4 separate regions of the Mus musculus genome follow, and all the other regions are reported to be linked to region 1. Evidence: microRNA targets listed by miRTarBase, many of them from high-throughput screens and not tested one by one. Region 1 holds a microRNA gene; each other region holds the end of a gene's coding sequence.
Evidence for each region. The annotated mature microRNA mmu-miR-883a-3p reads UAACUGCAACAGCUCUCAGUAU and lies in region 1 at 4,559-4,580, shown strand. An mRNA with a match to its seed (bases 2 to 7 or 8) in the 3' UTR can be bound and repressed. Matches are read on the target gene's strand: a 7mer-m8 pairs with bases 2 to 8, a 7mer-A1 pairs with bases 2 to 7 and ends in A, and an 8mer does both.

Region 1 (7,764 bases):
GGGGGAGCACCATGTTCTAGAGCTGCAAGCGCCTGGGCAATAACCACCTTGTCTCTCCTAGTTTGGGCCTTAAGCTTACAGACCAACCAAAGAAGCAACACTAATCCACAGCAAAGTGTATCTCCACATAATCCCACCCCCATCCATTCTTTAAAGAAGGAAAATGCTGAGGAGATCCAATTGGGTAATCCTTTGATCAGGGACAGGTCCAAGCGCTTGGAGTTGACCTGAATGATGGCAAGTCTCAATTCCCGAAGGGTCTGTTCAAATTCAGCCATCCAATTCTGTAACATATACTGAAAAAGACTTTTTGACAAATTAGCTGCCCTAGTAAATTTAACATACTGAATGGAAATAACACACAATCCCGGAAACTTTTGTTCACATCCCTGCTGAGTTATTTGTCATAATACATCTAGTTGTATCTGGACAAGATCTATGAGTTGATTAACCAGCATGAGACCTCTCTGTACTGGGCCAAATAAGTTCATTTGCTCATTAATGGCTCTGAGGTCATGGAGCAGTCTCCACTTTCCTGACTTTTTCTTAATTACAAAAATTGGAGTATTCCAAGGTGAGGTAGAGGGTTCAATATGGCCTAATTTTAATTGTTCCTCTACCAGTTGAATCACAGCTTCTAGTTTTTCAGAGGATAGGTGCCATTGAGGAACCCACACTGGGTCCCCTGTTTTCCATGGTATGGGTCGTGCTGCCCCAATGGCCGCTATGGAAAACCCAGACCCTGTCTGTCTTGGTTTCCATTAGGTAAGATAGGCTCTATCCTTCCCTGTTCTTGATGTCCTAACCCTTTTCCTTCTTTATAACCCATCTTTGCCATGATATTTTTTGCTTTAGTTGAATACCCTCCCGATGGGGCGTTTTCATTGGACAAAATAAGGCCCAAATGCTGCATAATATCCCTTCCCCAGAGGTTAACCGGGAGTGGGAGCACATAAGGTATGAATTTCCCTTGCTGCCCTTCAGAGGATTCCCATGTCAAGGCAACAGAGCTTATAGTGGGACATGATTGATATCCTAGGCCCTGTAATGAATGAAATGACTCTGTGGTGGGCCATGCTTTGGGCCACCAATGTATAGAGATTATACTTTTATCTGCTCCGGTATCAAGGATGCCTTTAAACTCTTTTCCGTTGATCTTAAGGCGGAGCTTAGGTCTATCATTCAAAGATACAACCAAATAGGCAGAATCATTTCTGGAGGAGCCCATTTTCTTTATCTCAGGTCCTGCAAATTTCTCCCTGGTATTATCAGGGAGGAGCAGCAGCTGAGCCATCCTATCTCCTTTGCTAATAGAAAAAACGCCTTTGGGGCTTGAGCACAGGACCTGTATTTCAGGGGAATGTTGACAATCCATAACTCCAGGGTGGACTACTAAGCCCTGCAAGGTGAGTGAACCCCGGCCGAGAATAAGGCCCATGGTTCCCGGGGGCAAGGATGGTATAGGCTCCACCGGCACCGGCTGAATACTCATTTGAGGCATTAGTAGGAAGTCGGAGGCGGCACGCAGGTCCACCCTTGTGGGTCTTCCTGGGTCGCCTCTCTGACTGCTTCCTGGGTCCTGACAAACCGGTTCCCATATCTTTGAGGGCCCTGGGACCGAGGGCCCAATGACCCGTTTTTTGGCACATAAGCTGATTGACTATCAGGTGGGGGAAGAATTCTGCCCTTTATATCCCTCACAGAGCGACACTGGTCAGCTCTATGATAACCCTTGCCACACTTAGAGCAAAGAGTGAGGGTTCCCCGCTTTTTATCTGGAGCTCTGCAATCTTTCTTAAGATGCCCAGGCTTTCTGCAGTTAAAACATGTCCTCCGATCATTTCTGCCCATGGAGCATTTTTGGGATTGAAGGATGGCAGCCGCTAAGCCTGCATTGCTGAGAGGTCTAAAGGTCCCTGGTTCGATCCCGGGTTTCAGCACCAATTCTTATTAACGCGTTCTCACGACCGGCCAGGAAAGACGCAACAAACCAGAATCTTCTGCGGCAAAGCTTTATTGCTTACATCTTCAGGAGCCAGAGTGCAAGAGAGCAAGCAAGCAAATGGCGAAACCCCATCCCTTTTTAAGGAGAATTATCCTCCACCTAGGATGTAGTACTTCCTGATTGGCTGCAGCCCATCGGCCCAGTTGTCATCACGGGAAAGGCAGAACACATGGTGGGAAAACTGCCCCTGCATGTGTGCAGACTATGTTTACCACTTAGAACACAGCTGTCAGTGCCATCTTATAATGGCAAATGTGAGGGCGGCTCCTCACACAAGGTGAAGTTTTGCTTCTAGCACAGTCTCTACAAAGATTGATTTATAGATAAATAATACTTAAATTTGGTCTTATCATGTTTTTTATTTATATCTCATGTTGCCTCCCTTACAGTCCCTCTTCCATTGCCCCTCATCCAGGCTCATCAAGTCTGCATAATTAGGATAATCCTCTCCTACAGAGGCAGGACAAGGCTGACCTCTGCTACATATGTGCCAGGGGTCTTTGTCCAACCGATGTATGCTCATTGGTTGGTGAAAAAGTCTCCAGTAGCTTCCAGTGGTCCAGGTTAGTAGACATATTTGGTTTTCCTATGGTGTTCCTGTTGCCTTCAGGCCCTTCAGTCCTTTCCCCAACTTGTCCATAAGTCGTCTGAAACCTCTGTTCAATGTTTGGTTGTGGGACTCTACATCTATTCACTTAGCTTCTGGTTGGAACTTCTCAAGGCATAACAGAGTTTGCAAGCATAACAGAGTATCATTAATAATGTCAGAGATTGGTGTTTTTTCATTTGATGGATCTCACTTTGGACGAGTTATTGGTTGGCCATTCCTTCAGTCTCTGATCTATCTTTGTCCCTGCATTTCTTTTAGACAGGACAAATTTTGAGATTCCATCTTACACAAATCAGCATAGCTAAGATAAAAAACTGATGCAACAGCAGATGCTGGCAAGGATGTGGAGAAGAAAGAAGAACATTCCTCCATTGCTGGTGGGATTGCAATCTTGAAGACCCATTCTGGAAATCAATCTGGTGTTTTTTCAAAAAAATTGTAAATAGTTCTACCTGAAGATTCAGCAATACTGCAACCCAGATATTCTTCACCTGAAGAATAGATAGAGAAAATGTATTTCATTTACACAGTGGAATACTACTCAGCTATTAAGAGGGAGGACATCCTGAGTTTTGCAGTCAAATGGATGGAACTAGAAAATATCCTGAGTGAGATAACCCAGACAGAAAAGAACATGCATGGTATGTACATACTTATACCCATGACATACGCCCACAGACCCTAAGAAGTTAAACAAGAAGGAAGGCCCAATTGAAGATGCTTGAATCACACTTAAAAAGGGTAACAGAACTGTCATGGGAGGCAGAGGGAGCAATGTGGGTATGTGAGGGGGATATGTTTGCAGGATCAGGTGTGGGAAGGGAAAAGAAAGAGGCCCATAGGCCCAGGAGAATGAATGGAAATCTCTATCTTGCAGGGGACTTACGGGTGGAGGTAATCTCTAAGCAGACCCTGAGACCTAGGATAGGGAAGGCTCCCAGGAGCCATTGTGTGTGACCTTAGCTGAGATGCCTAACAATGTGGACATGGAACCTGAAGAGGCCACCTCCTATAAACAGGCAGGACCTCCTGTGAAAGATAAGGACACGAACCCACCCATAAAACTTTTGACCTAAAATCCACATTTTTTAAATTATATTTTTATTAATCCTTTACAATTTCATATTCACTTTGGTCATAATTATAATTAAGTTTGATAAAAGAATATGTTTTGTTGTGATCATCATTTCTCTTTAAGTTAGGGTAGTGACAGGTTTTTATGTGAAATGTACATGCAAAATCAATTGGATTTTCAATATCATCAGCTTAAGTGTGAAATCAAACATTTACAGACACAGTTTAGTGGGGGTGTGTTTAATTGTGAAGATTGTGATAAAAGCTGTTGGATGAAATTGTTGTTGTTGAGATGAAGTACAAAGGATCAGTCTATGCTATCTCAAAGTACAGATTAATACATACTGAAGCCTTCATTTGATATATTCTCTTGATGCTGATGACTAAATCATTGCAGGTATCTTGAGGTCTTGCCTTGTTCATTTGTTATTCTTTGGTGTCACCTGACCTATATATTTATAAGAATATTTGTCTTGTTAATTCTATTTTTGTTTTGTTTTGTTTTGTTTTTTTGAGACAGGGTTTCTCTGTTGACCAGGCTGGCCTTAAACGAACTCAGAAATCCGCCTGCCTCTGCCTTCCGAGTGATGGGATTCACGCCCGGCTATGACTTGTTAATTCTTAACCTCTTGAATTCATACAGATTCGAGGAGTATCAAGAAAGAAGCAAGTCTGATACCTTGAAATGGAGATGGAAGATAATGGAAAATATGATTATACTTCCTGAGGAATTATGTGTAAAGAAATAACATTGCATTCATGTCATACTGAGAAGAATCATGAAAGTTGTTTTTGAAGTCAGCTGATAATAATAATAATTCGTGTGCACTATAATGCTGAGAGAAGTAGCAGTTACTTTATTCTATAAGTAACTGCAACAGCTCTCAGTATTGTAAGGCTCAACAAACGCAGGGATGGTAGCCATATGGTCATATTATGCCTTCATAGAGAAGATAAATGTACTGATTCTGGATTATACTTCATCCATCTTCATGATATCTTCAGATCTATAACCATAGAGAAGAGAACGGTTGTAGAACTTTAGAAGTATACTAAGAAAAATCCTAATGGTGGAACATGAGAAGACAGCTTCGAAGAAGAATGTGTGGTTAAAAAAAAAAAGTAATTATTGTTGACGACTTACTTCAATGTTCTATTCAATTTTATTTCACATGTTGAAATAAAGACTTCAGATGGGCTGGTTCTAGAGTACCTGGGCAGTGCTCTACTCACATGGTTGCTAATCACGTGAAGTGTAGGTGAAAGCCACCATGCTGGGTAAAGTAAAGCTCATCATGTTCTTCATTTGTTGTGGCCTTGGGTAGTAAAGATGAAGAAACTATACATCCTTATTATGGCTCCAGAATCTGCTTCCTTGTACCTGAAGAAACTATGCTCTCATTTTTTTTTTAAGTTTAAATGTTGTGGAAGTTAGCATTATTCTAGCTTGCACAGAACCCAAATTATACAAATTATAAGAACAGAAAATTGCATGCCAGTCTCAATAGGGATCATGAATATAAATATCAGAAATAAAACCAATCAATGATTTCAGGCCCAACTGAATATCAATTCAAATATCTTGTGACAACTTAGATGATGAGTGCACGAAAGTGGACTGAAAAGCTACAAGTAATTAGAGTCTTCCTTTATAAATATGGCCCTAAGTGAAAAAGAACCAAACAGATTTAAATTCAAGTCACTGAAATTATGATGGTATCAGTGATTTGAATTTAAATAGACCAAGTTCCTATCTTCTGTATTCTGTAACTTTCTCCAGTAATTGAACAGCGATATACAGGTACAATTGTGTTGTATTCTCATCCTATGCTCCCAATATTCTGATTCTTTTAGAAGATTTTCATTACCTAGTTTTTAAAAGTCATTTGCAAAGTATATCACTGATTAATCTTAAAGTCACACTGGCTATCTGGCTATAGGTCAAGAGGTCTTCCTTTATCATGCAAGGTGACAAAGTATATTTTGTATTCCCAAACAGTTGAAAATAAATAAATCAATGTTAATATGTCATGCTGTAATTGGTGAAGTGATGAAAACTGCTTGGGATGATTAGCCTACATGGATGATACCTCCATATCTTCATGCTTTATGTTATATCTCACTCAAGAAGCTGTTAGACAGTTGGACTACCGACAAATCTTCCAGGTAAAGTACTGCTCTTTAATTCAGTTATTTTTGATAGGTTCTAGGTAGTATTAGTGCTTTCCATGTAAGATCACTGATAATGGTTTTCAGGATGATCACAAAGCCTTACTATACAATTGTGTGTATCTTTTTAATCACTTTCATGGGACAGCATTCAAGCATCTATGTTAGGTAAGGAAAAGGAGAACAAGGTGCTAAAATTAAGAATTATGCTTTCATAAAAAGAAAATGAGGTACACTGTGTTAATGAAAGACTAAACACAGAAACGGTTTGAGTCTTTGTTGCCCCATATCCTTACTTTTTCAACATAGTGTAGACTATCCATGTTTCACCTCATGGGTACTTTCAAAATAGAGAATGTAAAGAAAGAAGATAATCTAAAGAAAAAAAAAATAATTTCCTTCCCAGTAATTAAATAAAGTTAAAGGACTTTTATCTCTCTGATCCAGAAGTGGTAGAGATAGAAAGTGAAGGAGAGTATATATATTCCCTAAGAACTTGAGTTAAGGACTCCTGAAACTTCTTGGTAATGCAAGAGTCAGATGAGATGATATGTCTCCATTCATTTTGGTGTGTGCATTGTGATATAGGACAGATACCAGTCACTTTCTACTAACCTCTCTCAATATAAGGATACAGAAAAAAGTAAAACTTGATGAAGATGATGAGGACGATGATGAGGATGATGAGGATGATGATGATGATGATTTTGATGAAGAGGAAACTGAAGAAAAGGTCCCAGTGAAGAAATCTGTACGAGATACCCCAGCCAAAAATGCACAAAAATCAAACCAAAATGGAAAAGACTTAAAACCGTCAACACCGAGATCAAAGGGTCAAGAGTCCTTCAAAAAACAGGAAAAGACTCCTAAAACACCAAAAGGACCTAGTTCTGTAGAAGACATTAAGGCAAAAATGCAAGCAAGTATAGAAAAAGGCGGTTCTCTTCCCAAAGTGGAAGCCAAGTTCATTAATTATGTGAAGAATTGTTTCCGGATGACTGACCAGGAGGCTATTCAAGATCTCTGGCAGTGGAGGAAGTCTCTTTAAGAAAAGGGTTTAAACAGTTTAAACAGTTTGGGGTATCTCTCTCAATATAAGGATACTCATAAAGTACTGTCATTGTAAATGTAAGAACATAGATGCACATGCAAGAGTATTTTCTGATTCTAAGATCGATTGTAGCTACCTTCACAGGACATTGTTTAGGTGAAGATATAGGGGGAACCTTTCATCTAATTCCTATTTCTCATAGGTGAAAATATTTAAAATTAGGGACATAGCACTATGGAAAATAAGTTTAGTTTCATTTTAATTTTTAAGTGCTTTTTAAATTAAAATATTTTATAATTCTCCCCTTTCGTTTCTTCCCTTCAGCCACTCTAATCAACTAACCCCTTTGTTCTCTCTCTCATTCATGCCCTGCTTAGTCCATATTTTGAAAGTTTTATGTATGTTATTTCAGTGCTGACCATGGAAAAGCAGTTGGTGGGCTCTTCTCTGCTGAGTACTATTTCTCCTGAAAGCTTTTTAGTGTCAATCCCTATACACATTAATGTCAGTGAGACTTAAGTGCGTGTACACATGGTCTCTCAGAGTGAGTAATGTTCAACAAGCTCCTTACTTTGTATACCCTGGACCTTATACTTCGTCTTCAAAGGCATCCTTGAGATTGCTACCATTTTCATCATTTCTCATTTAAAGCCCCACTTTTTTAGACTTAAAAGGTGCTTAAGGTTGTACACATGCCTCAAAATGGTCAGAGAGTGCAATTATAAAAGTAATATGTTTATTATTAATGGATATTTAATATCAGCAAAATGAGATAAAAAATTGGGATCACAACATTCAGAAGGAGAAATGAAAGGTGAAGGATTTTGTCATTTCCTGGACCTGTGAATAAAGAAA
Region 2 (7,764 bases), not on the chromosome of region 1:
TTTTAAAGTAACCACACCGCAGAAAGCCTGTTAATCCTACTTTATAGTCAGAAACTACAATAAAAAGCTAACTGTAGGGTGACGCTCACATGTACGGTAAAGCTCATTTTTAGAATACAGTATTGAGGAATATAGACTAAAATGAATGGTGTTTAGTTTTAAAGGCCCTCACAACATCAAGAGCATGAGACTAGAGAAGTGTCACCTCTGGCATGAGCTCTCTGACAAGCAGTGCTCACCCTGCCTTGGCTTCTCATCTGGCATCGACAGCTCTGCTCACTTGTGGATATTTTTATTGTTTCGATCATCTGGCCTGTCATCTAGCAGGATGCTAGTCCTCGTGCATGCCACATGCCTGCTTTCTGGGTTTCCTCACTGTTGTAACTGCCCATCTCACAGCCTGTGCTTCCTTCCCACTGCACCTTTGTCCCACACTTGCTATTCAAGGAAGGCTGTTTCCTGTGCTTTTATACTTTCCCACTTGGTTTCCTATACTGTAGGTGAATTACTCTACCTTTACACTGTATAGTAACAATCCTCTGCAGTTTTAGCAGGCACCATGTGACTGCAACAATTCATGTCTTGCCACAGCAACCAAAGAAGCATGTGAGCATCCTTATTCTGCACCTTTACCCAAGTTAGCTTTCCTCTAGCACAGACATGCTTTTAGCTAGAGACATTCCCTTTGTGGTAAAATAGATACACCCTTTGGTACCAACAGTGGATTGCAGTAGGGTTGCTTCAGGTGTGCTGCTGTGCTCTGGTGTGCTGCTTTGGCATTTAAAAGCAGGAAAACGCATGCATTTAGTCCCAGAGTTCCTTGAGTATGGTAGGACCTTCTGGCTCACAACATTAGTAACCTTTATTTACTGTGTAGTAAATGTAAAGTCTACTAATTAAGTGGGGGATAAAAACCAAAAATAAGACCATGACTCTTCTTTCCCTCTTCCCTAAAACTTGCCTCTACGAATAACCTTCAGTGTGCCCTCCAGCTGAACCGAAATCAGGCAGGACACAGACTCCTCCTTTCTTTTTCATCAAACCATAGAAATAGAAATCCTTCATCATAACCTCTATGCCTTCTCTCCCCTCTGCACCCCTGCCTCAGCTGCATTTTCCTGTTGCTTCAACCCAGGAGTGCTTCTTCTGTTGGGAAGAATGGGGAGAAGGGATGAGAATCCTTGACCAGTTAAAACCCAAGTCCTCAAGAAGTCATAACTTCATGGAGCTGAGAATTTCAGGCATTTCTGCTGCTGCCAAAACTCAGTTCTTTATTCATGGGACATAGAGAGGAGTTGAAGCCTCGACTCCTTCCAAATTTATATTTTCAAATTTATGTTTATGGTTTCAGGTGAAAACTTTTAAACAAAGCATGTAGCATCTCCTTATTTCTATTTGTTTGAAGAGCATCTAAAGAACGAATGCCACAGCATACATGCTGTCTGGAAACCCCATCTTTTCCACAGAAGCCCTGATCTCTGCCTTTGTACTATATAACTTGCCCAGTGCACAGTACTTCTTTGGCCCTGCTCTCTTCAAAGTTCCATAGCAGCCAGCCCCGTGGACCATATCACTCCCTCATCAGTATGTTGCTGGGAATAGAATACTGGCAGACAGTCCCAGTGTTAGAAAATGCCCTTCCCTTCATGCCTGCCATCACTCCATGTTGTTTAGCCTTATCTACAAGCTGTGGAAGAGAAACCATTTTCACTACCTGTTGTGCAAAAGCAAATGGATAAGTAATACTTCAAAATCTTCCTCTCCTGCATGGCTTCCCAAATATTCTCCCCATTCCGTGGCTTGCCAATCATTACCCTATGACATTTTCCCCTTTCCCCAAAGTTATATCCCAGAACCCTACTTTAATGCTAATATTGTGTTACTTATAATTCTAGGGACCAGCAGCACAAATACCGTTGGAGGAACAGTGAGTAGCCAGGCTGCCCAGGCTCAGCCTCCTGCTATGACTTCCAGTAGGAAGGGCACATTCACAGATGACCTGCACAAGTTAGTAGACAACTGGGCCCGAGATGCCATGAATCTTTCAGGCAGGAGAGGCAGCAAAGGACACATGAATTATGAGGTGAGTCTTCCCTTTTCCTAACCTGCCAGACTATACACAGACATGTCATGGACAGCCAAGGCTGGTATGCCATCCTTACCACTACCATCTTCAGTAGCCTGTGGATTCTATTATTGAGAAAACAAGGCAGCAATCATTTTGGTACCCTTTTTCTTCAACATCCTGCACTACCTGCATGTGCACATAAAACACATCTCAGATCCTACTTTTCACTCCTCCTTGTTAAGGGTAAAGCCAATAAATATGGGCGGCTTCGTTATATTTTGATAATGCTAAGATTAGAACATCTCAGCTCTACAACAGCATTATAGTATCACCCATTTTTCATCAAATTCTCATTGCTACTTTCTTGTTTTTAGGGCCCTGGAATGGCAAGGAAGTTCTCTGCTCCTGGGCAGCTGTGTGTTCCCATGACCTCAAACCTGGGTGGCTCTACCCCCATCTCTGCAGCATCTGCTACCTCTCTAGGTCACTTCACCAAATCCATGTGTCCCCCACAGCAGTATGGTTTTCCACCTGCCCCATTTGGCACTCAGTGGAGTGGAACAGGTGGTCCAGCACCGCAGCCACTTGGCCAGTTCCAACCTGTAGGAACAGCATCCTTGCAAAATTTCAACATCAGCAATTTGCAGAAGTCCATCAGCAACCCCCCAGGTTCCAATCTACGGACCACCTAGTCAGCAGCAAGGATGTTAACTGAGTAGATTTGGGGGCAGGAAATGGAATGCTGGGGGGGTGGGGGGGTGGGGAAGTAGCCTATATACTAACTACTAGTGCTGCATTTAACTGGTTATTTCTTGCCAGAAGGGAATGTTTTTAATACCATTTTGAGCCCTCAGAATGGAGAACCACCCTCCTTCTCCGTTTGTTGGAGTTAAAAAAGAAGGAATGAACAGCTTTCTGGTGGAGGGGCTGCTTGAGACTGCTTTTCTGTTTTTGTACCCCTCAGTAAGGCCTAGAACTAGAAGAGAACCTTGTTACCAGAAAGCCCCAAGAGCTCAATGTAAGCCAAACCCGATCTGTATCTGTAAGTGGGCAGAGCTCTTTAATTTTGACATGTGTCCCAAATTCCTTATTCCCTCAACAATGCACACCTTAAGACAAAGGTTCTCTCCCACTCTGATCCCTACCCCCACTTTTTCCCCCCCTTTTACAACCTAGTGAAAAATACCAGGGGACTGGGGTTGCAACCCTTTCTTACATAGGTCATTAATGCTTTAAGCAAAAGATATTAGCAGCTTTGACTGCAGCATTAGCAATTAGGGAAAACAATAACGTTCCCTGCGGACATGTAACTTTGCCATCAGTTTTGATGTGGAAACACTGTGATATATAAATGTTGTTGGACAACATTAGTTTTAAGAGAAAAATTTGAAAGGTTTAAAAGGTTCACACACACACAAAAGCTAGCTCTGTCCTTTACTTATTAAGACACTTTAACTTTTTCCTTTGTATTTCCATTGTATTAGATAAATAAATGTGAATGTAAAATTGTATAAATTACTGTACTTGAATACTTCTGTTCTCCCAGTATTGCTTGCTGGATATTTTAGTGCCTTGGACTTCTATTGCTTCTGCTGTTAGCATCAACTTACCAGACCCCAGGTCACCAAAGGGTATGTGGAAAGAAATCTTAGGTCCACATGACCCCAGCAGTGGATATGCCAAAGGGAAAATGAAAGTGTTTTTGGTTTTGGTTTGGTTTATTATTTTGTTTTGTTTTGTTTTGTTTTCTCAGTCGTTTCAATTTTGCCTAGAGCAGGTGTAAGGTGAGCACAGTGAAGTTGGCATCAGTGGTTGAAAACAAAGTTCTGTTTCAGAAAGAATGAGGAGGGTTGTGAGCTGTGTGTGAAAGATAAGGACTGAAGATGTGGGGACAAGCTTGTTTGAAGTGATGCTTGGCCAGTGAACAAACGAGATCTAGAAGAGATTAAACAAAAAGAGGGGAGTGGGCTAGATTTTAAGTTGGGAAGGATGACAGTGCCAAGTCACAGATGGAAAATGTTGCTCTAAGGAAACCTGCTCGGTTGCCCCCACCTCTTGTTGCACAAGTACCACCACACTTTCTCTGCTTTAAGTACTGTATTGTGGGAATTCAACCCACTTCTAACTTTCTAAGCATTGTAGGAAAAAGTGCTTATTTCCTTTCCTAGCTGTCCAAATGGTTGCACAGTCAGAATCTATTGTGCTGCCTGTACTTCTATATTAGAGCTAATACTCTCACATTTTCATACCCATATCCCCAAATAACAGCAACCAACCAGTATTATCTGATTTTCTGGCAATAGGGACCTAATTGGCTGTTTGGGATCTGAATATTCTGGAAAAGTGGAAAAAGTAGAACTCATTTCTTGGGTGCTTCCTCCTTCACCTTGAGTTGGGAACTGACACATTTCCAACTTTATGACACATCCCAGGAGTTGCCACACTAGCAAGGCTTCTTCCTGTAAGAGTCTTGTTCTTTTTAAGTTGGTCGAGGCCCAAAGATACAAGTGAGAGCTGAAAGTTTCAGGAGAGGGAAGTGTAATGAGCAGGGCTTTTGTTTCAGGTCGTGCTACCAAAGTGTTGACTCATTTATTCCTTTTGGGAGCGGTAAGAGGTACTGTGGGAGTGAAGCAGGTTACAGGATGACTGAGTGCTTCATACCAGCAGTAGAGGGAGCCAAATGCAGCATGTGGTGTTTGGTTTAGTCATTCTGAGTGAGGTCTGTTCCCCCTTCACAGAGGTTTACTTACTGTTGGTTTCCCCCTCCTGTGGATGAAATAACTGAAGCCTAGAGAAACGAGCTAGTGCTACTGAACTGTTTAAATTATTTTTGTGTTAATAGTACACTTTGAGTATCTTTCCACATTTAAAAAGAACTTTCCGAATTATAAATGTTTTCCTTACGTTATTTAACAATGTACACTGTTTAAAACTGAATTCAAACCTTGGGGTTTCTCAGCAGCCGTTACCTGTACATTTGCACTAACTCCGGGGGCTGCGCTTCTGTAAGATTGCGCTTTGTGCTTCAGTTTGTTACCTTTGTAGACTTATTTAATGAAACCATTCAAATAAACCAAACTTGCTTTTGTTGAACTGTGGGTTGTTCTTTCTGACAAACAAAAAACCCTTTTGTCCTCACTGGCCCTACCATTTATAACTAAAATCGTGCTGTTAAGGGTGAAAGTGGCACTTCTCCAAGGAGTCTGTTGCTAGTCCTCAGGAAAAGGCAAAGCAACAGCTGTTAGATGGCAGGGAAATTATTGCAAACTGCTGTCAGTCAACAGCGTCTGACATAGGTCTCAGTTTCTCACCAACAGATCTTGTCCCTGCTTCAAGACTAGGCACAGGGGCTAGAGGCACTTCTTTCTCACCAAGCCTGTGCCTGGTCCCAGGGACTCACCAATTCCCTCATAGCATAACCCTAAATTCAGCTTAAGTAGAATTGGAAGTTCATTGTTCCTTTGAAAAGAATCATGAAACTTTGGGTGTGGTATAGTTAAAGAACAGTTACTTCCTTAAAACACCTATTCCTAGGGAGACAGCTAAGTAGTTTCTCATCCAAATATCCTGAGTTCAATTCCCAGAAACCATATGGATCATGATTCCACCCTTCTTCTTTTGTTTTGTTTTTTCGAAACAGGGTTTCTCTGTGTAGCCAATTCCACCCTTCTTTAAGTGAGAAATTATGGCTTCCCAACAACCCATGGCTTTTCACTCAAAGGCTCTTCAGCCAGAGAAAACAATTCTTTAAAATGGTGCACTATTCATGTAGTATGATAAGAATCTTACCCTAACTATGCCTTTGCCAAGTACAGCCATGCAAGAAGCCTAAACTACCAGTAATCTCAATTGTAAGTTACACCAATTCTGCCAGTGTCAGTGTTCAAACATTACTTGATGGCTCAAAAAAACACTAACAGCAGAACTAATAGGAGCCAGGTGTGATGGTGCACACCTTTAATCCCAGCACTCAGGAGGGAGAGGACAGGTTCAAGGCAGCTTGGTCTAAAAAGCAAGTTCCAGGACTACATGAAAAAAAATCATCTCCAAAGGAAAAAACCTACTAAAAAGAATGCCAACTAATCCAGTGCCTTAAGCACCCCGTTTTAAGTGTTGGCACATCTCTGGATAAAGGGAGACTCCTCCATGGATCCGCATGTGATCCTGAACCGACAACATGACCTTGTTCATAGCAATGCTTAGTGGAAAACATTAAAAACCTGAAGCCAAAGGAAAGATGAGGTCACACATAATTTAATGTAGGTAACAGTCATGCTGGGGCTTGGTGGGCAACATCGTTAAATGAAAGGCAGCCTGCAAGGTCCTAGAATCAGCTTAGGAGTGAGTAATACTGAACAAAGTTTATCTGTTGGCCTCCTTCCCATCATGGGGTATGACAACCTTTTTAAGTAGTTAGCTTCCTCTATAGTCCTCTAAAGAGTTCAGCATGAGCCAAGGTGGAACAATTTTGTGACCAAACTGCAGTTTTCCAAAGTCCTTTTGTGACGGTCTAGTGACATCTTGAGTCTCAGGATGGATCTAGTTTCCTTTTCTTCAGGTCCTGGCTCTTCCTATGAGGTTCAGAGTCTTCTGTAGAAGATAATGGTTTAAATACAGCAGCCTTGACTTTAAACAGTAGCCCCCCCCCCACCACAACATTTTTATAGCAGACGTGCAGCTTGGTCTTCATGTGGGTCCCCTAACAACTAGAATAGGGCCTGTCTCACGGTTGCCTGCTATTGCATCCTCTTCCCCTAACTGGACTGCCTGATTAGGACTCCTAATTTGCCTAGTCCTGCTAGAAGTCCCAGGAAGAGGTGGTACCCAAGGGAGGCTTCCCTTAGGCTCTGAGAAGGAGAGGGACTGGGGGGCGGGGGGCTGTGATTGGGATGTAGTCATTTCTGGACTGTATTGGCCAACAACCCTCATTTAGACAACACACAATGAGTGACCATTGTGGTGTCATTCTCATTATGACATATCTACCTTGAGGAAGAAGTGATCTAAATGCAATCAGGACAAGTAGTGTGTCCAACATTTTGACATTATAAAACACTATCATCAAAGTTTGCAGCTCAAGAGCCATGCAATCAAGTTACAAAAATAATTAAGTTTGTAACTTTGTCAATGCAAACACTCATAACTTTCCCAAGTCTCATGTTGGACACACCACATTCTAGATCTAAACAGATCTAGCCATGATGTCCAGAGTCCAAAGCTCAAACCACTATCTTTTTTTTTTTTCCATTTTTTATTAGGTATTTAACTCATTTACATTTCCAATGCTATACCAAAAGTCCCCCATATCCACCCACCCCCACTCCCCTGCCCACCCACTCCCCCTTTTTGGCCCTGGTGTTCCCCTGTATCAAACCACTATCTTTACCTGAACTGCTCAGGTAAAGGACTCTGCCCAGCTTTTTTTTTTTTTTTTTTTTTTTTTTTTCTCCTTTTGAGACAGGATCTTAATATGTATGTATTCCTTACTGGCCCGATTGAACACAAGGCCTTACAACATACTAGGTAAGTGTTATACCATTGGTTGGACTAAATACCCAGCCCACAGACTTCATCTTTTATGAGGCATATCTATACCTCATAGAGCTCAGGCTGGCCTCTTCCACAGACAAAATACCAAAGGAAGTACACTTGGTTCTCTCTGGAGAGGTGCACTAATCCTGAGGGCCAGGATTGCA
Region 3 (7,764 bases), not on the chromosome of region 1:
TAGGAGTACACACTCACTGAGCTTTCCAAGGCATTTTAAGAATAACTGGGGCTGGTGAGATGGCTCAGTGGGCAAGAGCACCCGACTGCTCTTCCGAAGGTCCAGAGTTCAAATCCCAGCAACCACATGGTGGCTCACAACCATCTGTAACGAGAGATCTGACTCCCTCTTCTGTAGTGTCTGAAGACAGCTACAATGTACTTACATATAATAAATAAATAAATCTTAAAAAAAAAAGAATAACTGATGTGTGTATGTTTTCTCTTATTTATTTATTTATTTATTTATTTATTTATTTATTTATTTATTTATTTACTAAGACAGGGTTTCTCTGTGTGGCCTTGGCTGTCCTGGAACTCACTCTGTAGACCAGGCTGGCCTCAAACTCAGAAATCCGCCTGCCTCTGCCTCCCAGGTGCTGGGATTAAAGGCATGCGCTACCATCACCTGGCTCTTTTTTAAAAAGATTTATTTATTTATTTTAAATATGTGAGTACACTGTTGCTCTCTTCAGACACACCAGAATTGGGCATTGGACCCCATTACAGACAGTTGTGAGCCACCATGTTGTTGCTGAGAACTGAACTCAGGACCTCTGGAAGAGAAGTCAGTGCTCTTAACGGCTGAGCCAACTCTCCAGCTCGTGGTGTGTGTGGTTTCCTATTCCTGGATGTGAGATAGGTTCTGGGCCGTGTACACAGGTGTAACCAGCCAAGAACATAAAGTGGTGTAGACAAAACTACACATACCACGGAGATTTAAGGGATCAAATTCAAGTCATTGTGTTAAGGTACCCATGGACATGTCCCATTGACCCGCGAAATGCATTTTTAAAAATGTATTTATTGAACTCTTTCCACATGTGTTTTGAGTTATGCACAAGTGTTAACCTTACGAGCACTGCCTCATTTAATTTCCCCAATAATCTTATACAGCATGAACTATTTCACTTTCCACTTGGTAGATGAGGAGTTCAAGGCTTAGAGAAATGAGCGGATTTGTCAGAGGTCACCTAGGGAAGCTGGGAACTAATTAAACACTTAGTGTCAAATTCCAGAGCTACTACCTGAGTCTCTTCTAGAAAAACAGCTATTTCCATCTGTAAGAAAGAAATAGGTCACATAGACCACTGACTGGAACTCCTCACAGTCCTTCGTGCTAACCTGGCGAGCACGTTCCATGGCTGCCTCGCTCTCCCAGCCATATGCATGAGTCCGAGAATGAGGGTTCCCATAGTAGTTGACAAGGTATGGGAGCATGGCATCAAGCACTCTGGGATCCTGAACAGAAGAAAACAGAGCCCAAAGTCAATTCAGAACCTGCTCGAGCCACCATTACCTGCCAACCTTGCTCAGTGCATTTCCAACCTTTCAGATACTCTCTGCTTTCTTCCACTTCTCAGACACTAATCAAATAGCAACCTGATATATGCCCACTTCAAACTGCAATGTTCTGCAATTCCCACAAGTCTTTCTTTAATTTTTTCATTTACTTATTGAAAGATAAGGTCTTATGTAGTTGAATCTGACCTCATATTTATAAGCCTGCCAGGTTGCCCACTTCAAACTGCAATGTTCTGCAATTCCCACAAGTCTTTCTTTAATTTTTTCATTTACTTATTGAAAGATAAGGTCTTATGTAGTTGAATCTGACCTCATATTTATAAGCCTGCCAGGTGTGCTGATACACACTTTTCTTTTCTTTTTTCTTTTTGGGTTTTTTGAGACAGGGTTTCTCTGTATAGCCCTGGCTGTCCTGGAACTCACTTTGTAGACCAGGCTGGCCTTGAACTCGGAAATCTGCCAGCCTCTGCCCCCGCCCCCCATGCTGGGATTAAAGGCATGTGCCACCAATGCCTGGCACATTTAACAAACAAACAAACAAACAAACAAAAGTTTGAGGGGGCTGGAGAGATGGCTCAGCAGTTAAAGAGCACTGACTGCTCTCCCAGAGGTCCCGAGTTCAATTCCCAGCAACCACATGGTGGCTCACAACCATCTGTAATGGAATCTGATGCCCTCTTCTGGAGTGTCTGAGCATAGCTACAGTGTCCTTGTGTATATATAAAATTAAAAACAAAACAAAATAACAACATAGGTTTGAAACTCCCTATGTGGCTTAGGCTGGTCTTAAGCTCACTCAAACTACCCATGCCACACTGTCCAGCTCCAACACCCGAGCAATTACTATTAGTTATAATGCCTGTACTGGAAGGATCTGACAGGGTCAGTAGCTAAAAAACAGTAAAGCCTTTTCTACTAAACTAACATCTTAGCCTCCTGATTCCTGGCAGCTCCTTTTCCTAGCACATTTAATAGTTCTCAAGTCGGATGAATTTTAGCCTGTCGGTGAAATTTGTCCTTCTAACCTTTCCTCCCTACAAAGAACCTCTGTTAGTCCTTACCAGAGGAGTGGTGGCCTGTACGTCCATGTAGAGAGGTCGCAGCACTGCCTCTGCCTCTGAGTGAACAGGCGAATGGGGGCCATGATCTACAACTAACAACAGATAGCAGTGGCAAAGTGAGAAACCGTGGACGAAGGGCACACAAAACAACAGATGGTCAAAGCTTCTTTGAGGTGAATTTAAGGAAGGCGGAGGTCCAGTGTCAAAGTAAACAAACAACAACACGCGCTGAAAGACATCGAGTTAAGTAATAGACACAGGGTTCTTGGAAAGGGCGCGGGCAGCAGCAGTCGGGGGCAATGTTTAAACTACATAGCACCGAGTGGGACGAGCTGTAAAAAGCAAAGCCATTTAGAAGAAAAGTGAAAAGCGCAGGTTCCTTCAAAGGTTCACGGCAGGAGGAAGCTCATCTAGCATCTTTAAGACTTGGTCAGGAGAGAACTGAAGGATGAGAATTCCGCTCAAGGGAAGTGCGGAGCAGTATGTAAGGGCCCTCCCGAAAACAAATAGGAGACCGGGCGACGGGAAGGTTTAAGAGACTGGGCGATGGAACAAGGCGGGTAGGATCCGCAATAATGCAGTGCTTAGCAGCACCGACCCAAGGGGGTTCGCTCCTCCAGAAACCGTGGGAACGAAAAGGAAAGGGAACGTACCGCGCAGGCGCAGTCCCCGGGTGGGCACCGAGGACCTTCCCAGGGCCAAGGAGGTAGCCGCCAACGACGCCCGCCTCCAAGCGGCTCGCAGCAGCATGTTCCCAGCCACAGAGCCCACCATCCGCGGCGCTTGCAAGTCCTCAGCCCATGCTCCCGGAAGTAACTGCGCTGTGCTCCGGAAGCGATCCCACGGACCGCGAGCGCCCTCCGCCTAGCATTCGGAGTGAGACGTCGAGCTGAGCGATCGCAGCGGAGAACGAGGTGAGGTGGGGCCCGACAGTGGCCTGCGTCGCGCGTGCGGGGTCCTCCATCGCGAGGGTGGTGGAGGCGTGCCGCGGGCTGGCTTCTGACCCGGGTGCTATGTGACCCTGCTGTGCGTCCCCTGGCCGACGCCACGGCTGGTGACCAGGCCCTCACTGTCCTAGCACTCTCGCCGCAGATGCCGGTGGCCGTGGGTCCCTACGGGCAGTCCCAGCCCAGCTGCTTCGACCGCGTGAAGATGGGCTTCGTCATGGGTTGCGCAGTGGGTATGGCGGCCGGGGCGCTGTTCGGCACCTTCTCCTGTCTCAGGTGAGCCTCGCGGACAGAACTTCCTGCCTTCCGAGGGCTCCAGAGCCCACTCAGACGAGGTTGAAAGCACAGGATTTACGGATCTGAGTTCTAAAGTCAAAATGGCTTTCTGACTCCTTTGTTAGTTCAGTGTTATTGAGTTTAGTGGAGTACTGGACACTTACCTCCACTTTTGTAAGAGCCAATCATATTAGTATGATTTACATTATCTGGCACGTCGTAATTACTTAGCGAAGGGTTATTATTGTTGCATGGCGTTTTAACTCCCAACTGCATGTAATGAAGCAAGCCTGATGAGAATTAGGTGTAGTGAAATATTCTACCTCTGAGATAAACTGCTATCACATTTGGATACTGTGCTTATAAATTACTATTTACCCAGCACTAGTTTAATTGTAGTGCTAAGTACTGTAGTTAACCACCGAGCATTAGCTGTGAGCACCTTAAATCCACCAGCACTCTGGACGGAGTGGCAGATTCCTGAGTTCGATACTAGCCTGGTATATAAATGTGAGTTCCAGACAGCCAGGGCTGTTACACAGAGAAACCGTCTCAAAATAAATAATAATAATAATAAATAATAAATTAAAAAGTGTAGTTACCGAGTCTGTAATGTCCATTTTACACTTTATGCAGTTTATAAATTGCAGCGCTTGACTCAATCTAGGTTAAACAAAACAAAACACTAAGGAATTATCTAGAAGAAAACTGGCTACTCAATGATAAAATACCATAGAGGCACAAACACGACTGCTTTCTTGCCCATGTACTTCATTATCTCTGCATCTACAAACTAATGCAGCATTCAGCACAGGTCCTAGAGACCCTAGATAGATATTTTCCTTGTCATTGCTAATCCTATGTGGGGAAGAGTAGCATTTTAAGAATGACAAATGAGATTGTCAAGCTGTTAGTGCTTAATATATTCAACAGATTTTAAAGGGGGGTACTTAGTTCAAATCTCTATTCCTGTAATTGTATTCCCAAATTGCTTTCTTGGTTTCCTCCTCAGGATCGGAATGCGGGGTCGGGAGCTAATGGGCGGCATTGGGAAAACCATGATGCAGAGTGGCGGCACGTTTGGCACTTTCATGGCCATTGGAATGGGCATACGATGCTAATTAGGGCTAGGATGCCCTGCAATACCTAAACTTCCCCATCCATTTCGACCCTTGTACAATAATAAAGTTGTTTTCTTCTCGTTATATCAGTCTATTTTTACCTAGTATTTATCCTAGACCCAAAGGTTTGGTAGTCCCAGTACCCATCTCAATGGTGACCCAAAATTGTTTCATTCTAACTATGATCTGTCTTCTGGAGACAAATAACCAAATCTCTACCCAGGCTTGTTGATACACACACTTTATCCAAACACTCTGAAGATGGAGACTCGTCGTTAAACCTGTCCAGCATACCAATTAAATAAACTTTAGTTGCTTACTAACAGGTATCCTGTTAACAGCACATTGTATGAGATTGTCTAGTTCAGAAAAACATCACCAGCCTCAGCATTGAACATTTTAATTATCTAGGTTGCTAACAAAATTCCTTACAGGAATTTTTGTTACCTTACCCCTGTGATGGCCAAGAATACAAACCTGATTAGCCTTGGTGAGTTTTTCTGGTTGATCTTCAGAATGTCATTAGGTAATAACAACTGACAATTCAAAACGCTTTACTGAACATCTTATTCAAGAAACAATTTTGTTATTTTTCTCTTGATACATCTAGGATGTAAGATATATTGGTTGGCAAGCTTTAGACACCCAAGTAGGTCATACTTTATTTTTTTTGAATTCATAATTAAGTTCCCTTGTTCCAATCCACAGCCTCCTACAGTTGCTATCTGCTAAAAGGCTAAATAATTCATTACAATGCATATTGTGCCAATTGATTGAAAGACGGGGCAGTACTTGGCTTCACTTCGTAGCACCTGTTGTACAAACTATAAGCTCACTTCCAGAGGACCTCCACAAGTACCAAGCATGTATGTGGTATACATATATCCAGGAACAATGTTTATAGACATTGTTCATAAAGAAAACATTGAAATTGTTTTTTAAACATAGGGATATTAGAAACAAGAAGGAGCTGAGTTTGAGGACATCCTCCTGGTTTGTGACCAGCTTTTAACAGTCAAGACTTTAGGAAACCTCGGTGTCAAAAGAAAAGAGAAGAATGAGGTAGTGAAGACTTCAGCATTTTAAGGAGTAACTGGGGACCAGGAAGTAGTTTGAGGTGCTATTTTTGTCGAGTTAGGAATGGTAGTGCTTATGTATTTTTTTGTGACTTTGTAAACTATAGAGCTAAAGACAATGATAAACACGTAGAGAAGGATGAGAGCATTTTCAAGGGGCAACTTGTTTTCTTCAGTGGAGAGGACATACTTGGTAGTAGTGGTATTAGACAACCAACAGTGATGTCTATCACTAAGAATGAAATAAGCTTAGTCTAGGCATGTATGCTGACACACACAGCTCCCCTTTCCGAGCAGCCCAGAGGTTAGGAGAGTAACATATTCAGTCTTTGGTAGATCTGAGGCATGTAATGCTGAAACACTAACTTGAAAAAAAGAAGGAAAGAAACCCAAAGGATATTGTGATAGCCTTTGCTTAAGTTTGTAACATGAAAACATTTGAAAAACGAAAATTTTCTTGTGGCCTTTTTCAGAGAATTTTATTTGAGTGGTTCTTACAAAGATTGTTGCAATATGAAAGTCATTTGTTTGATAGAAATATCAAGCTGTCTTGTCAAACACACTGAAGTAACCCAAAAATATATTTCAGAGCTCACAGAGCTTAAAAAGAGCAAAGATTATATGCAACCAGACAAAACCTTTTTCTGCATTTCCCATCTCTTGCCCAAGACTGCTTACTCAATCTGTTACGTCAGCCACCTTGAGGAAATGCAGGGATCATTTTGTTTGGAATCTCAAGACACACTAAAACATACAGTATTTACAAAGAAACTTTTACAGAGACATTAATTGAAAAAATTACCATCGAGAAATATTATTTTGAAATCCCATTCTTGCCAAATAATCAAGATCAAATGCCAAGCAGCCATACAGCCACTTAGACTTTTCACACACTAAATGTGGATTCTGGAAACCTTTGCTGAACCATGAGCCAAATACATGAATGTGAATTGTAACTGCTGTGTAAAAAGTTAGGTTTCTGAAACATTAAAACGTGACCTGTCTGCCTTTATACAGAAAGCACATTTGTTCCCCTAGAGCTATTCTATAGATCCTTAATGTCATTTTCTACATGGACATTTAAAACAGCAGAACAAGAGAACAGCTTTGCATAAAGTAGGATTTGCTAGTTAGGGATAATGAGCACACTGCATTCCTGTTAACATTTTTATTTTTCAAGGTAACAGGAGTTGTATACAAATGACAGTAGACCCTTGCCTCTTTATTTTATCTAAATAAAAGATAACTCAAGATGAATTCTCAAGAGAAAAAAAAGCTATATACATAAGGGACTGTATCTTCCTTCATCGTCTACTTGGAACCAGTAGTTGTGTTGCTGTCATAGAATCAGGAAAGAGGTTGTGGTAAGTTGGAAGAGGTACATACGCTGCTGTTATCATTTTACCTGTTGACAAAAAGAAAAAAGTTGGGTAAGCAGTTTTTACTCAATGTTAATCACTTGGTGTTTCAACATAAAGTCTTCGTAGCAGTTACTCACCAGCAAACCATCTGCCATGCAATGCATTGACAGCAGCAATAGCCGCAGCAATAGATGGGCACTTCACATACACATTGCCCTAAAATTATCAAAAGAAAAATTAATTAAAATAATCACTGATCACATACTCTCAAAAGTATATCCTAGATGTTTGCAGAAATGTTCTTTAGAAACTATTAATTCTAATAGCTTATGGTAAATACCCCAAATGTTTTTGAAAACTAGTATCTTCTCATTGATCTTTTCACCCTATATTCCCCAGGCCCCAAAGAGTAAAGAGTAAAGAAGCTGTTAAGAGTTCCAGGGTTCATGATGCAAATTAGCTCATCAGTTAACACTACTCTCATCAAATATTCATTATTTTGAACTTGCCTTTGTTTTGTAGCTGGTTATTTAGCTAGCACATATAAGTCACTTTCAGGAAATAAACACTAAGAAAGCA
Region 4 (7,764 bases), not on the chromosome of region 1:
AACCAGGCTTAGAGGTTTGGCTAGTAAAAGGTTTATCCAGGCCTGAAGCCCAGATCATTTTGATGTTTTTAATTCATTAATTTTATGAGTTTGATAGACTGTCTTCATTTATGATAGCATAAAACACTACTGTTTTTACAGGTATGCATGTGATAAATTTGCTACTTAATATTTGCCAGCTTATCAAGTGGGTACATTATATATTAATTTTATATTTGTCCATACAGGTGAAAAACCATACAAGTGTCAAATTTGCAATCAGTCGTTTAGAATTAAGAAAACTTTAACAAAACACCTGGTTATTCACTCTGATGCCCGGCCTTTCAATTGTCAACATTGCAATGCAACATTTAAGCGGAAAGATAAGCTGAAGTACCACATTGACCATGTTCATGGGATAAAATCTCCTGATGATTCTCTCAGTACTTCTGAGGAAAAACTCATGTCTTTGCCAATGGAGTACTCATCTGATGATAAGATCTTTCAAGCAGAAACAAAACAGTATCTGGACCAGCCCAAAGTTTATCAGTCGGAAGCCAAGACTATGCTACAGAACGTGTCTGCAGAAGTATGTGTTCCAGTAACATTGGTCCCAGTTCAAATGCCTGACACATCCAGCGATCTGGTGCCTCATACCACCACACTTCCCACATCGTCCCATGAGATGCTGCCACCACAGCCACAGTCAACTGATTATCCTCGTGCAGCAGACTTAGCATTTCTGGAAAAATACACTCTTACTCCTCAGCCTGCAAATATAGTTCATCCCGTCCGACCCGAACAGATGCTAGATCCTAGAGAACCATCTTATCTCGGGACATTACTGGGCCTTGATAGCACAGCTGCTGTCCAGAATATGTGCAGTAGTGAGCATCGTTCATGAGTAACCATTCCATAGGCCTTTTAATGCTGTAAGCTGACAGCCAGAAGCTAATGGCTTTTGAATTAGTAGGGCTGCTATTTTTTCCCCCATCTTTTTCCCCTAATTTCTCAAGTCTTCAGAACAGCTTCAAATCAAGAAAAGTTTATTTCTATTGACTGAATACTTGGACACATTTTGACATATTTGAAGTATGATTTTTTAAAAAAAAATCATTAGTACTAATTTTGAAATTTTTAAATTTCAGATTATTAGCTGCTGACAATGGTGGAGGTATTTTTTTTAATCATCAGTGGAATTTTTTGTTTGTTTGTTTTTTTTGAGACAGGGTCTTAGTTTGTAGCCCAGGTAGCCTCAATTTGTGATAGACTTTCTGCCTTAGCCAACCAGTTGCTAGGATTACAGGTGTGAGCCCCAAGCCAAGGTTTTACTTTTAATCATCTGTTTTGTCCGTTTCCCATATTGCTATGAAGTTTTAAGAACCATGTAGCCTATAGGAAGGAATGTAAACATATGTCAATATTGGCAAAATTTTAATACTAATTAAATATTTTGTTCAGATTTTCAAAGTTGAGTTTAGAAACTTATTGAAATTTCTTACATATTTTTGTAAGAAAATCTTGATACTTTGAGGTTGTCATCTATCCATTCTTTTTGTCAGTATATTTGGGTTTTTCACAAGCCAAAATCCAAGAGCTCACAATTACAGGATTAGCATGCTAAATGAAATATAAGGTTGTTATTTTAATCCAGATGATTGGACCTGTACTCAACTATGATAAGTAATAAATACAAACTTAGCTCTAGACATTAAATTATCTAATTGAGTATATCGTAATGAAAAACTGTCAGTTTCACCTACATATCATCAATGTACATTGGCATTTTGTATTTGGGCACTTCCTCCTCGTTCCCAGTATGTGTCAGTATCTACAGATGAGTAAGGAAGGAAGGGACAAGTGTAACTAAAGTGATGGCAGTTCAGTTACACAATGGAGTTAGCATTTCATTTACCACATTTGGCTGACTGAAGCAGGGAAACAGAACCTAGATATTTTACGTGTAGTTATCAGAAAAGGTGCCAAACCCATTCTCAAATCCGCCCTAACTTAACAGGATGCTCTTCAGCTGAGTGCACTACTGTTGGTGTATAGATTGACACTTAAACCAGATCTTTCTTTTTGCTTCTGTATGAGATTTGTCTCTATTCTTCATTGTTTCTGGATGAGGCAGTGGTTGAAGTCTTGGTGAAAGAAAATAGGATTTACAGCAGCGCTTCACAGATTAAGTTTAAGTGAAGGACAAAATCTTCCAGAATTACGAAATATCTTTAGAGATGTGCACTTTGCATTATTTTCAACTCAATTTCATCTTAATATAGGATGAGTTTTTCCTTGTGGGGTTGCTGATGCTTAAGACAGGTAGGGTTGGCTCACTGTTAACATGCAGTTTGTATGGAAACTACTGGAAAAATAGCAGTTGTCAAAACTTTTCTATTTCAATTTGTTTACACTCCTAATTGCTTTTAGCACTTTTGTGTGTGCGTGTGTGCGTGTATGTGTGTGTGTGTGTAAACTGTAACGTTTTGCTTGGCCCTTGTGGGTTTTGAAAACATATCACAAATAAAATAATAAACTTCTAGTGAATAAAATGTAATCAAAAAGGAGGAAACTGTTTAAGCACTTAAGAAATGAAGGTACTTTATAGGAACAGTTGCCATATTAATGTTCAAAGAGCATGTTGCAAATTGAGGCATTAACCAAAGTAGCTAATATAAATAATAAAGATAACCTGAGTTTTGCCTCACTTATCAAAGTTTGGTTGTTGTAATTGTCTTTGGACTAGTGAACTTAATTTTGTATTATTATTGCTAAAGTCTTCTTACTTAGTGTGGAAGTGTTCTGTGGGCACTGATAACTGAGTAGAGTCTGAGCACTATGAGTCCTGGACTTATAAATCATTGTCAAGAGTACAGATTTGTGATTTCTATCCAAAGGCAGAGAAGATTTCTAACTATCTTACTGAAATGAAAACATCATACTTAGAAATGTACTTTGCTTTAGAGATAAGCTAATGTAGAAAATTTTGGGTTTATCAGAAAAGGCAAATGTTATATATGTGTTTATGTGCATGATGAATTGTATATTCTGACAGAAAAGGAGGATACAGCATTTTCACAGTGGAAATATTACCTTGGGTTTTGAAGGTATTTAAGGTTCTTTCAATAATGATATTCTAACACTTTAAATATATGACTTAATTTTAGTAATTGGTTTACATAGGACTTTTGAAGAATATAGCTCTTATGTAAAGTGGCATACAATTTTATAATTGTACTTAGCTATTATTGTAGAAAAGCTGAAATAGTGTCTGTTATTTAAACCATTTTCATGTTATCTCATTTGAACCTAGTAAGCAATTTTGAAATAGAAAGGAAATGATGTATTTCCATTTTAGAGAGATACTGAGAGTCATTTAGAGTCATTTGACTCTACTCTCATGCCAGAACTGCCTTGAGTGGAAGGAGGAGACACATGGCATTAAAAAGGCTTACTATGTGCAGGACTGTGTTCTCCAGTTCCTAACGCAGTCTGCAGGTAGACAGTAGAATATTTAGGAAGAAATGAGGAAACCCATAATAATGAAAAGATTACTGTTCCCTCTAGTTTCCAAAAATGTAAGAACATGGATTTGAGAAAACTGAATGTATAAATATTTTAAGTTAGCACAAAAATTATAAAATAGACCCTACTCTTCTTAGTTGTCCTTTTTATGACTCTAAAATCATTATTTTGTAACTATGGTTAAAATTTTGAATCTCACACGTACGTTTAGCCTCATTGTGAATATTTTGTGGGTATAATTTATTGTTTTAAATTAATTTTGGTAGATACGTTAGCACTTAATCTGTAAATTGAATAAGTTATTGAGTGCAGAAATTTATTAACTTACTGTCACTGACTTAATGCACCAAAGATTTTGAGTAGGTATTGAGTAGTTGAAAAGAATTTAAATTCTTTGTTGTTTGACTATATATTTGTCCAAAGAAGCACAGCTGACGTCCTTGGATACTGAATTTTAAAAATTGTTAGTTTGAATACTAAGATTAAGTATTAAATGTTTGTGTTTATGTGTATAAAATAAGTAGAGGAAAGTACTCTGGGAACATTCATACTGACCAACCAGTTACAAGTGAGAATACTCATTTCTCTCAGTTTAGTTGAATGCAGTTTTTTTTTTAAATGAACACTATTCAATAATCTTATATTTTACACTACATTATAAAAATAATTTCTGCCTTAGAGGTTTTTTGTTTGTTTGTTTTTTAGATCAAATCGAGGTTATTTTTATAAGAAATCCCTTTGGTTTTGACAGCCTAAAATACTACGTAACCATAGGGTTTCTTCCTCATGCCAGCAAGATACCTTTAAGCTATTATAAAAGTAGTAAAGTTTGCAGGCTTAATCTAGAGCCTTTCTGCTGGGCAAAGAGGAATAAAAATACCATTTAAACTGGTGCTTTAATAAACTGACTGCCTTTTAATGATGGTAGCATAAAAGAAGTACACTGCTTTCTTTCAACCTTAAAAAGTGTCAAAAAACACCTTTTTGGAGTGACTGTAAAGTATTAAGGGCTAATCTGTTCCACCTATTGCTTTCTCACTCAATCACAAGTTACCTAAACACAACTAACCTGCTGTGTCTATGAGCTTGAGTGTTCTTCCTACAATATCACTCTAATTTATTATTTATCAAGAGGTTTGAACATTAGTTAAGAGTGTCCTTTTAGACCATCTTTTCTGAATTTGAATACTTTGTACTTTTTCAGAGATGTGTAGTTGTGTAGCATTTTCTCTGTTGCCTAGATTGTACTGGTAAATAAATGACTTGTTCATTTTGTTTTATTTTTTGGTTCTGAGTCTTAATATCCCTGTTGCCTGCTGGCTGGGCAATAGCCTTTTACATGTTATATTAACTTAGGAAAATTGGCATTTCGCAGTAGTGTGGACATCGGTCTTTATTATAATTTACATGTCTTCTTTTAAGTTTGTACTGTGGCCTTTATAGCTATGGAGTCACTCCTCAGCCTGTCTAGATGTTGAGCAGAATCGGAGAGAAGGAATTGTATGTCTGCTCCTCTTGTTACTCTTTCTCTCTGACTGCTCTCCCCTTAAGGAACTTGTTACCAGGAACACACAGCTCTGCACCGGAGACTTAGTTCACTTTCCTTGAACTGAACGTGGTTGGTGGTGTAAGAAGAGCTGCTGTTAGTGAGCGGCGGCATCCTAGTCAACATTGAACTTGAGTTGATGACTCAGGAAAAAGCACGACTTTTCAACAGTCATGTTTGGACATATTTAGTGCCAAATTTCAAAAGACTGAAAATGAATAATTTAATAAGGAATAAGTACTGTTTCTTAATTTTTAAGTGGAATTATGTTAAATGTTACCTACTATTAGTGTGAGTAATGAATTGAGAGTAATTTTCTACACAGCTTATAGGAACTTGACAATTCTGCATATCCCACTCATTTCTTTTGCCTGTTTTCCTTTTAGTAATCTCTGTGTGTTCTTTTTTGGTGTCTTTCCATGTTTCTTATAACATTTTTACTTACAATACTTTCCCTTGTGTTATCAGCATGTCTTGCGCTTCCTCTTTGGAAGTGGGTTATTATTACAAAAGCAATAGGATTAGATTGATTGTGTGGGAGATGAGAAGACGGTGATTTGGCAAGGAGGGTGTGCTTACGTTCGACTTATTCGTGTTTTAACTTACTGTATATTGGTCTTAAGTCTGTGATCTTTGAAAGATCCCCAAGCCACTTATTTAAAGAGAATTTAAAGATGTTATTTGGAGAACAAATGTTACTTAAAGATGAAAACCTTCTGAATTCTCAAGTAAAGCTAAGCAATTTCAAAATTTGCATTACTGCCGGAGATTCTGAAACGTCTCTTGAATGAAGAGCATGTGTACATCTCATTGTCACTATGCCTCTCTGTTTGATATTCCTGCTTGTATAAAGTTGAATAATGTACTGTGGTGTGATTACTGAACTTTATCCTTTTAACAATCCGACTTTTCTCCTTGTAACTATTAACAGTTGATGAGGGTGATTGCCAAAAGCTAGGTGTTTAGCTGCTCTGTGTTCTGTCATAACTGTTCTATTTAAGGGAGAAATGGTATATATTGAAATAGAAATGCTTTTGTTTTCTGTCTCTAATCAGAATCTTTGTTTTTAATTAAGGACAGTTTTAAAAGCAATTACAAAGGAAAATCTAAAATATCAAAATTCATTATTTTTCACTGTATGACAAATGTCTTAAGTTTAGTAGATATTTTGTTTGTCTCGTGTTCCTTAAATATAAATGTATAGCAAAAATTCAGTTCCTTGTGAGGAGTAGATGAGGTCTTGCATATTAAATTAGTTCCTTATGTTATTTTGATATTTAAAATAAACAGTTCTTTGGTCCTAGTAAAGCACACCCAGGTTCTTTTCACATTACACTTTCAGCGTGGGGTCACAATGTTCTGCAAGTCTCTATATAAAACGTAAAAATGATGAACAAAGGCAAAACCAAGTATCTTGGGAACGTTTTGAAACATGATTTTAATAAATTACAAATTATTTAAAATATCTTAAATATATATTAAATACATAGTTGAATCGGCCTTAATTTTTTTATATATATTTTCAAGTATTAGATAGAGATAACTTTGAAGTAGTCATATTGCTTTTGGGGAATTTTAAAGTGTAGCAAAATTCTATTACTGAAAAACTATATCCTATAAAATACTAAAAGTGGGCATTCCTCCCCCTCCCCTCATTTCTGCAATTCTTCGTTCTGGTTTTGGGGGGAAGGCTTGCTGTAAAATGTTAATAACTCTACAGGATCTCACCCCAACCTAACAAGCTCCATTTCTGTTCCAGTCTTCAATGTGCCATCACTATTGGTTATAATCACAAAGAGAGATCATGTCTAAAAAACACAAAACAGCCCAACAACATGCTACCAGCTCATTACATCTCTGGTCAGCCAAGGAAACGTATAAAGGTGGTTAGTTCTGAACAGACATGTCAGATAGGAAGACTTGGTTTATATAAATATTTCTTGGCTAACTGGTAATGTGTGACAATCACTGTGGAACTTTCTGACATAGTGACACAATGTTGGTAAACCACACAAGTTACTAAAAAGAAATCACATTAACTGTACAGCATTGTTTGTAGGCACAAAATGAAAACTCAGCCTGGTCCCGTTTAAGAGAGTGTTTATTCAGAGGTCACATATGAAAGACCATGGCCAATGGACACAGATATAATTTATTCCAAGTTCGATGTTCCAAGGTCGTAACAAGTCAATGATGGTCTTGTTTTTGTTTTGTTGTTGTTTTTACAATACTTAGAGGCAACCGGACGTGGTAGTGCACGCCTTTAATCCCAGCACTTGGGAGGCAGAGGCAGGCGGATTTCTGAGTTCCAGGACAGCCTGGTCTACAGAGTGAGTTCCAGGACAGTCAGCGCTATACAGAGAAACCCTGTCTCGGGAAAAACAAAACAAAACAAAACAAAGCCAATTAGAGGCACTTTTCAAATACATAGGAGAAACATTAGACGTGTGCTAAGGCAATAGGGAACCCTGGTATAGCCTCAGATGCTGGCAGTACTCATTTTTGGTTGGTTGGAAACCAGTGCTGTATTTCTCCATACAACTATTTTACACAATGGTCACAAAGACATTAGGTAACTTAAGAAGGATAGCACGACATGGCTATTAAGACTAGCTAGTTGTGTTCCCCAGTAATTGTTTATAGTGCTTGGCCGCCAGCATTCTAACCCCTCCACCATCACTGATGTTCATATCACGCAGCCTTGCCTAGGAACC

Region 2: miRTarBase lists Rad52 as a target of mmu-miR-883a-3p. Seed matches in the 3' UTR shown: 7mer-m8 at 6,546-6,552.
Region 3: miRTarBase lists Rbm39 as a target of mmu-miR-883a-3p. Seed matches in the 3' UTR shown: 7mer-A1 at 6,778-6,784.
Region 4: miRTarBase lists Zbtb41 as a target of mmu-miR-883a-3p. Seed matches in the 3' UTR shown: 7mer-m8 at 2,325-2,331 and 7mer-m8 at 4,106-4,112.

The regions. Positions count from the first base shown.
Region 1 is chrX:66,777,584-66,785,347 of GRCm38, reverse strand. Mir883a (microRNA 883a) reads left to right here and starts at 4,515; the gene lies at 4,515-4,590. It overlaps Mir742 (microRNA 742), which reads left to right and starts at 4,911; the gene lies at 4,911-4,975. It also overlaps the pseudogene Gm14681.
Region 2 is chr6:119,921,366-119,929,129 of GRCm38, reverse strand. It overlaps Rad52 (RAD52 homolog, DNA repair protein), which reads right to left. Exons shown (of 12, transcript NM_001166381.1): 12 at 6,307-6,658. The coding sequence ends at 6,597. It overlaps Wnk1 (WNK lysine deficient protein kinase 1), which reads left to right. Exons shown (of 28, transcript NM_001199084.1): 27 at 1,896-2,083; 28 at 2,443-5,161. The coding sequence ends at 2,760. Among named protein-coding and RNA genes, the nearest start is that of Rad52, 23 kb to the right of the region's middle.
Region 3 is chr2:156,140,963-156,148,726 of GRCm38, forward strand. It overlaps Rbm39 (RNA binding motif protein 39), which reads right to left. Exons shown (of 17, transcript NM_001291114.1): 16 at 7,323-7,401; 17 at 6,277-7,229. The coding sequence ends at 7,129. It overlaps Nfs1 (nitrogen fixation gene 1 (S. cerevisiae)), which reads right to left and starts at 3,224. Exons shown (of 13, transcript NM_010911.2): 1 at 3,058-3,224; 2 at 2,405-2,496; 3 at 1,164-1,280. The coding sequence starts at 3,178. It overlaps Romo1 (reactive oxygen species modulator 1), which reads left to right and starts at 3,191. Exons shown (of 3, transcript NM_001164216.1): 1 at 3,191-3,318; 2 at 3,497-3,627; 3 at 4,640-4,832. The coding sequence starts at 3,497. The coding sequence ends at 4,748.
Region 4 is chr1:139,446,648-139,454,411 of GRCm38, forward strand. Zbtb41 (zinc finger and BTB domain containing 41) reads left to right here. Exons shown (of 11, transcript NM_172643.5): 11 at 228-6,360. The coding sequence ends at 883. It also overlaps a transcript of Aspm not described here. Among named protein-coding and RNA genes, the nearest start is that of Aspm, 4.2 kb to the right of the region's middle.